2 linked regions of the Caenorhabditis elegans genome follow. The protein of the gene in region 2 purifies or fractionates together with the protein of the main gene of each other region. This does not show direct contact. Each region holds a gene or a part of one and is shown on either strand. Other genes may lie near its edges.

Region 1 (3,582 bases), on a different chromosome or scaffold from region 2:
AATTTGGCTGAAAACTGAAAAATAAATTAAGAAAATTCCGTGACGCTAATTACCTTGGTCTGCTGCGATGGAATTTCTGGCGAATTCCTGAATTTAGTTGCTTTGACTTCACTATTTTTAATCTGATTTTGATTTGTGTGCGAATTCCTGAATGATGGCGGTGGAAGTCCATCACCCCACCAATTTTTATTCGATTTATTCGAATTATCTGGTAGAGGCGTTGATGTTATCTGAAAAAAATCGTGGGATTAATATCTATTTAGTTTTTACTTTGTTCTTTTTCTTACAGTCGCGCTGGGCTTCATTTTGGCAGATTCCAATTTTTGATAGCAATTGTTACAGACAATCATTGGTAAATCCGAAAGTGTGGGAATAATTGCACGATGAGGCAGACATTTCTTACAGAAGGAGAGAGCACAATTCGAGCAGCCGGCCTGAAAAAATAGAAATTAATTAGTTTTTGATGCCAGAAAATAACTTCTCTGTTTAATAATGAATATTTAGTTCTGCAGTTTGTGCAACAAATTGAGGAAGGCATTCTAGAGAAGAATTTCGGCATTTCGCAATGATACAAAATGAAGAGAATAAGGAAATGACGGTGAAATAACCGGTTTGAAGGTAAAAATGATAAAGTAGACAATTGAATTTTTCTAGTTCATTCTCCAACAATAAATTCACAACAAAACAAATCTGCCTAGATAAAAAACTAAAAGATATATCAAGAATACATCTAGAATCCTTTGCTGTAGAAGAATTGCTCAATAAGAACACGTGGAGCTCCTTTAATTTTGATACGACCTTTCAACTCATCGACGTGACTGGCGATCGAATGTCCAAGATGTTCTTCAAGATAGGAGCGGAGATCATTTTCGCAAGCCTGAAAGATATTTATGTTGATTCAGGATTTAATAATGTTCCCAACTTACAAAAATGTCTCCGTCGACGTTTCTGATAGTTACTAGCTCGACATAATCAAAATCCAACGTTTTCTCATTCAGTAAATCCCTTTTTCGTTCCAAATAAAGAGGAAGAAGATGGTCATGACGACGTCGAATGTAGTATTGATGTGTCTTGGCTGCTTCTGAAATATTTCGATGCGGTATGAATTTAATCTGTATATACCTGTCGGTGGTGTCCATCCGCTTGGTGTAGGATACTTTTCGTGCTCAGGAACATTCGGCACCACTTCTATTGGCATCAATCTTTCCACATACGACCAATCGATAGGAGCTTCTTCGACCGTTGCAAGACTTCTGGCTGTAATTGCTAGTAGAAAAATTATATGATAATAAATAACTTACACTTTTCAGGGAGAGCATGTTTCCATGGATTTTCCCAAAGTTTCTCAGCTTTTTCGACTGAAGTTGTTGAAAAAGACAACCTGGAAACTGCTCGAGGGGAGAAAATGCGGAGAGAAGAACCCAGCATCTTAATAAAATTATATAATTTTGAATAAAATCAAATTAAAAATAAGATTAATTGAAACACAACAATAGAATGCAGAAAATTACTCATAAGAAATAATTTATTTTGAAAGAAGTTGTGTCGATTTACGATAAAAACTACACGCAAACGAGGCTCCGCGTTTACACCGTTTGGCAATGGAGCGCGCTTGCTATTAGATTTTAGGCCAGCTCAACGAAAGTTTAATTTATTTTTCTTCTTTTTTTCCATTTTTTTGAGTAAAATATCGAATTTTTTGTATTAATTCTGTAAATTTTATAATTTGCAACTATTTTGGCGTATTCTGCTTGTTTTTATCAGCGAATTTTTATGCATTTCAGTCAAAAGTTTGAGCAGGAAAAATGACATTTAGGACTTTGTAAAATTGTATTCTTAAATTTGCTTGAAAACCTACGTGTACAATTGATTTTATTGAATTTTTCTTACGTTTCCCGTTGTATCTTATTGTATTTAACTTTCATCATAAAATAATTTATTTCCAGGTAAAATGTCCGACGCTCTCGTGTGGCAAGTCATCCGCAACAACAGCGCTTTCCTCAGAACCCAGCGCGGAATCGGAAAGCGATTCTCCACTGAGAAGTTCAACCTCAAGAAGGTGAACAGCCCAAAATACAGTGGACTCGCTAACAAGCACGCCATCGACGTCAGCGCCGCCGCCAAGGGAGTCGTTGTATCTACCAAGAACGAGAGTAAGAGATTTTTTAAAAATTTATTTTTTACACTGTTTTTTCTCAGAGGGAAGACCAGCCAAGGCCGTCACCACCTCCACCTTGAGCAAGACCCCAGTTGCTTCAGTCCGTCGCTTGGCCAAGAACGCCGGATTCAACAAGTTCAACAAGCTCGCTCAACGTCGTGCCGCCGCCATCGTCCGCTCCCAAGTGAAGAAGGCTAAGGTCCAAAAGACTGACGCATAAATGACGTTTGTTACGTTGTTGTTATGAATATAAAGTGTTACAGCTTATCAACACGTTAAAATTTTTTATTCAAAAAAAAAGTGAAAAATCAAGACAATTAGGAGTTGTTCTTTGTGAAGCACTCAATCCATCTTTTCTGGAAAAAATAAATATGTAAAATTTAGATTAGAAATCCTACCTTGTCGTCGTCAGATGCATGTTCATCTAAATATAAATCAATATCTGCCTTCAAAGAATCGATTTCGGTTTTTTTGGCACGCTTGTTCGAGTTAGCAATTTTAATCATTGCCTGAAAAATTTTTCAATATCTAAGAAGTCGTTTTAAAAATACCGAATGTTCGTCGATTACACTTTGAACGCCATCAATGGTTTCTTTTGAAATTCCACATTTTGTCAACATTTGAATCGGGAATCCACCACCTCCAGAGCAAATTGATACGAGAAGAAAGGACAGAATCAAAAATTTCATGTTGAAATAGCACTCAAATCGGCTCAACGTTGAATGGGCATGCATTCGACGAAAGGTCGATCACGACATTTTAGGTTCAGTTGAAACCGGTTATAGGGCATGGTATTTTTTCTCATTTGGATCGGTTCTTTGGGATTATCCTAAGTTGTTGCAAATTTTTCAGCATCGAGAAATATGAAAATGGTGTCTGACTGAAAATTACTGTTTGTTATAATATAATTATGGTTGTAAAAAAGTACACTTCCAAAACTTTGTATTTAGAAATGTTCAGATTTTGAAAAGCACATTCACTTGCTTTTGGAAGAACGAAGTTATTTTCCATTATTTTCCTCTTCTACGATTTTGAAGAGTTTAAAGAGTAATGGTCTCGACACGAGCGGTGAACTGATTTAAAAAGCTTTGAATATCTGCCTTTAAGATTACTGTATTAATTTGCACTGAAATCCATCGATTTTTCTTGTTTTCTTCCAATACTGTATGTTTATTATCAATTTTTGTGATTATTATCAATCTCTCTATGATGTTTCGGCCTTAACTTATTCATGTCTATTCACTATTTATTTTTATTTATTTTTGATCACGATTTGAATCGTAATAAATACAATACAATACAATACAATACTTTGTTTTTACAAGTTCCTTTCTCAATTTTCTGTATTATTTGTATTCAAATTACTCATAATAATAGTTTCAAAAACGAAATAAATGTATTCTTTCTTTATTAGTGAAGGAAGA
Region 2 (5,248 bases):
CGAATGTTGTGATTAAACTTAGTCATTCAGTGAGATATTTGTCAACAAACTATAATAATTTTCTGGTCAGGGTTTATTTTCCAAAAATTCCAAAAAAAAATAGCTCAGAAAAAATAAAATACAAATCTATTATCCTTTTGCAAATCATGCAAGTTGTTGACAGTGTTGTAGCAAGTTTTCGTATTGTTTTTGGATTACTAATTGAATTTGAAACGGGAAATAAATACACCGAAAATAAAAATGAAACATTCTAAAAATAAACAAATATTGTTTATAGTTGAAGGGATCTACAGATTCCTTGAAATACGCGTTTTTTTTCTGATTTACCTCTAACTGTTGCAGTTCTTTCACAGTGATGAAGAATAGCAAGCTCTCCAAATAGTGCTCCATCTTCCATTGTTCGTACAAATCGATTATCCTTCACAACTTGAACTTTTCCTTCTTTAATTGATTTCATTTAATTCATTTTTGAATAATAGCTTTGAAATGACAAGAACTCACCTTGAATAACATACATAATTGATCCAAGATCTCCTTGACGAATAATTATTGCACCAGCTGGAACTTCTACGGGGTACATCGCAGATGAGATTTTCTCAATTTGAGTTGCATCCAAATTACGAAGGAACGAGTTGAGACGCAATGCATTTCCGATTGTTTCGAAAGCTCTGAAAACTAGAAATTATTGAAACGATGCGGAATTTTTTGTTCATTTCGTAAATAATCTTTTAAACTAACCTAATCCTACATTCTCTCACAAGAGGCAAAAAGTAGATGGTAGGCAGGCACTTAAAGACGGACATTCTTACTATAAAAGCCCAGTAAAGCCGAAACTCCAAAATTTAATAAAATTGGCCAATTTAGTAAAATAGTAAATTGGTATTTTGGTCTTTTGATATTTTGCACATAGAAAAGTAGTTCAATTATGCATTTCAAGGAACATTTCTAATGTACGTACAATATTTTCCCAATTAATAAATATTTCGCCCCTATTCTCAACAATAAGGGTTCGAAAGTTCTTTTAACTGATAAAAGAAGCGTAAATATATCTTTGAGAAAATTGAGGACAAGCTAGATATGCTATCAAAGTAAAGTAGTGAGGGTGCAATACTAATAAAAGAAGTACATTGCACGTTTTCTTGTAAAAATCTTTGTGACGTATTGTCTGGGATCTTTGCAAAAATGATGCAGTCAAAAAGTTAAAAAGCAAACATAAGAACGAACCTCTTTGGTATATACCGTTGAGTTCTACTACGGAATAAATCTCTTCTGTAGCGTAAAGATTTCATTTTTCAGATCAAGTTCCCAGAATGGAAATTTTTAATCAAAATCTACCAAAGTTGAATGGTATCCAAATGAAATACAGAGGTCAAGTCCAGAGTTTATATTATCTTGGGACCGCCCATATGAGACACAGTAATCTGTGCGAACTTAGAGAGAAGAAGAAAAACTGAGGAATGAGAGCACAAAAATTCCGTGCAAAGAGCAAAGAAGAGCTCTCTCCCGTTCGAAGCTTCTTATTTCGGAAGAACAAACTGACATGATACCATTCACTTATTCTCATGTCGACTTGAGGGCAAAGCACATGTTTTTTTATCACAATGGACTTGTCTGGTTTCTTTTCGACTCATATTTGACAAGGAGTTTAACATTTTTTCAAGAAAAGTGTAGCAAGAATTTGATGAAAGAGTTTTTGCCAATATCTTTGAACGGCTTGAACTCAATGTACACCAAAATATTGTGATTTTTTGATATTGCAGTTTTTGGAGAATTGGAACGATTTGTCCAGTATGTTTAGCCACGTAGGGTCATAATACAAGTTAAAGAACCTAGCTTTATGTTGAAATAGAGTATTATCAAAATGTTTGAATCTGTCATTAAAAATATTGATAAACCTCTATAACACCCCAGAAAATAGGCACTGGATCGCCCAAAATCCGGAAACACCGGGCACCAGGTTTAGTCCGGTTTACCAACTCTACCTTAGACTATTTTGTATATTTAATCCCCACTCACGCTACTCAATCTTTGACAAATTATCAGACACTTAGTTTGAAACTTTACTGTAAATTTTCGTAATCTCGGACAAGGTGACCAGCTAGACATATTTTTGCATCTTTGACAAATATTTTGAAAAAATATGGTAAAGGCGTTTTTTTTAATCTAGCTATTTAATAAACATTTGTTTTTGGTATACCAAAACTTGAAAAAAAAAGTTCATTTAAAAATCATTGTCATGAGTCTATGTTCTGTAATTATTTATGTCAACACCATGTTATAAACGAGGATTCTTATTTTTCTAGGTTACATTCTTGTTGACTTGGAGATTATCTATTTTGAGAAAATTATATGTTTATCAAAAAAATAAATTTTACAAAATTGATGTGATGGGCTTTATTCTGAGGTGTTCGCCTATAGACACTCAGTCAAGAGCGAGTCACGGCAACTCGGTCCAAAACCATTTCTAATTAGTAAACTCTCAAAAACCACAACTAATTAGCTTAAAACCATTGTAAATTAGCTTATTTTTGCTAATTAGCAATGATTTTAAGCTAATTAGTTGTGGTTTTTGAGAGTTTACTAATAGTTTACTAGCTTATTTTTGCTAATTAGCAATGATTTTAAGCTAATTAGTTGTGGTTTTTGAGAGTTTACTAATTAGAAATGGTTTTGGACCGAATTGCCGTGACTCGCTCTTGACTGAGCACCGTTCCAAAATTTTGGTTTTATCACGTAATTGGTGTGTTCTCTATTGTATTATGAGCCTACGTGGCTAAACATAAGTATTTTTACTGTAGTTTGACTTGTGTATCTATTACGTGGCAAATATAAGTCAGTTATAGAAAAGCAGATGGAGTTTTGAGATGAGCTTGAAACAGAAAAAAAACTAACGCATCACTTTTTCCAATAATTGGTCTTTTGACTTGAATATCCGGTTCAGAAGAGATTGCAGTTTTTCTTGTTGTATTCATCATTCGATATTCATCAAGTTCCTTTCTCAGCTGTTCAATTATGTCATCCTTCAGCTCCAGCTCGGCGAGCAATGCTTCACGTGTGAAATCCATTACTGAATAACGGAAACGATCGTGAATCATTTTGATGTTTAATCAGAGGAAATATTTTAGTGAGGAGAAGAATAAACCAAGAATTTCAGAAAATGGTGAGACGAAAGATGATGATGATATGCTAATGAAGTGATGAAGCCAACGAAAATTTTTTTGGAGATGGGGCTAAACGGAAATATGGACTAATTGAAGGAAGGTGATGGGGTAAATATTCAAATGAACGTGTTTTTGTTTTCGAATTTTTGATTAAATATGTCTCAAAGAACATTTGAAGGTCTGTCTGTGTGTCTGTTTGTCTGTAGGGGATATTTGTATGTACCTAGTGGGTGTAGGTGTGAAATCATTATTGTTCACATCATTCTTGTTTATTCTACTTATTAAACAATGTTTTCTCAGCTTTCCACCTACTCGAATTTGTTTTTTAAGAGTTTTTTAAACTGTCTTTGTAGATTTAATAGTTTAAATTTTTAATCTAAATATTTAGTAAAATTTAAAGGTTCCACACTGCACTGCATTTGCGACTATTTCAAAAATTATTTATAGCAACTTCAATTTTTTTAAATCACATTTTGCATGAACTTACGGATGAAGTCTATTATCTCTAAAACTCCTACTTGCTATCCAAAAAATTCTCCCAATCTTTCTATATTTATCTTCATTGGACTCAACGTTGACCTCTCTGTCGGTGCACTGAATTTTTGCAACTTTTCTTTTTTGTATTTCCGAAAAATGCGAAAAGTCTCACAATGTGCTGGTCATGTATTAGATAGTACAGTAATTAGAGAGATGGGGTGAGAAAACAGAAGGAATGGAGGAGGAAGCTGAAAAGCAAACAGATGAGAAGTAAAATGAAGAGATGATGACGATAAACGGACAACACAGGGAGCACACTGGTGGGGTCAATCAACGATAAAAATGTTGTATAATATGATTATGAAAATTCTTTAAAAGAATCCACTAACTTGGATTTTGTTAAACTAAAGTAGTAAGGTAAATGCAAAATAACGTCACTATAGCTTTAAACTTTTATAATATCTGATTTGGTTATTCGTAGCTCAAAATTCAACCGGTCGAGCCATCACTGCTTCATTTTCATGTCTCATTCAGAGACTTTTTCGTTGCAGTTCTTTTTCTGAAACTCTTTAAGATTTAATGCTCACAAGACATGGTTACTATGATAAATTATATGAAAACCCGTTTATCTTCACAAATTTCGTCGTAAATACTTCATACCAGTTTATAAAATTAGTTTTATAGTATGTACAAGAACAACAAACAAAATTTGATATGTCGAAATATCTAAGATACTTGGTTTTAATTACTACTTTTGTAATTAGTGTGCTAGTAAATGTTCAAGATTTTTGAACAATATAACTGTACGAAATTCTAGAGAACAAAACAATTGCACTCAATCTGAAATATTTTGGTTTACAAAGAAAGTCAAAACAAATTATGATAACAATTGATAAGTAGGTTTACATGAAAATCCAACAAAAAACTTTTCTTGAAGTAAATAAGGGAAAAGTAAGAGTCTCTTCTTTCTAACTGAAAAACTCTTATTGTATATACCCCTGAGGGTGAATACGTCAAAAGAATGTATGTGGGTGAGAAATCCTTTTGAATCAAAACCGAAAAAAAGAATCTTTCGAGACTTCTCATTCGGGGGAATGTGTGTGAATATTGAGAACCAAAAATCGGGAAAAGATTTGAAACAAAAAGTTTCCGTTTCGAGGCTTTAATAGTGAGAGGGAAGCAATGAATGAGTTCCATTGGGAGCACTTTTTGTGCCGAAATATTTAAACTTTCGACTTTTGCCACAATTTCATGTTGTTCAACTCTTTTTCTCCTTTTTTTTAGGTTTTTGAAAAAAGAGTTGTGAATATTCTATGAACATTGAGACATTTTAATGGCTCAGATCGGCCAAAAGAGCACTAAGACAATTGAAATAAGAGAGTGAGGATAAAATAGAGAGTACCACATATATTATAAATTTATCTTGATATACATTTTTCTGTAATTTTAATACTTTCGTAAATTGAAGCTAAGATTACTGTAGCGGGACCCTCAAATCTAATTAGTTTTTTTTTTTGGAATTGAAGAAAACGAATTGAATGATCACTGAAGTTCAAAGACATAAAATTCGAGGTGTGTTGGCGTGTCTTCAATTCCTTAAATTTGATGAA

The links.
Region 1: the proteins of pkg-2 (region 2) and mrpl-49 fractionate together in Caenorhabditis elegans (co-fractionation; one large-scale study listed by BioGRID). This does not show direct contact.

Annotation. Positions count from the first base shown.
Region 1 is NC_003283.11:12,726,477-12,730,058, reverse strand, and holds mrpl-49 (Large ribosomal subunit protein mL49), read right to left. Parts: upstream 1,429-3,582; coding exon 1,302-1,428; intron 1,258-1,301; coding exon 1,123-1,257; intron 1,082-1,122; coding exon 927-1,081; intron 878-926; coding exon 731-877; 3' UTR 642-730; downstream 1-641. Other genes in the region: zfyv-19 (FYVE-type domain-containing protein), read right to left, coding at 1-7, 54-230, 288-434, 479-538; rpl-28 (Large ribosomal subunit protein eL28), read left to right, coding at 1,952-2,153, 2,200-2,378; R11D1.13 (DUF148 domain-containing protein), read right to left, coding at 2,476-2,514, 2,557-2,667, 2,710-2,847.
Region 2 is NC_003282.8:8,518,713-8,523,960, reverse strand, and holds the start of pkg-2 (cGMP-dependent protein kinase), read right to left. Parts: upstream 3,068-5,248; 5' UTR 3,066-3,067; coding exon 2,893-3,065; intron 1,359-2,892; exon of another isoform or gene 1,290-1,358; coding exon of another isoform or gene 1,225-1,289; intron 669-1,224; coding exon 502-668; intron 442-501; coding exon 328-441; intron 171-327; exon of another isoform or gene 150-170; intron 1-149.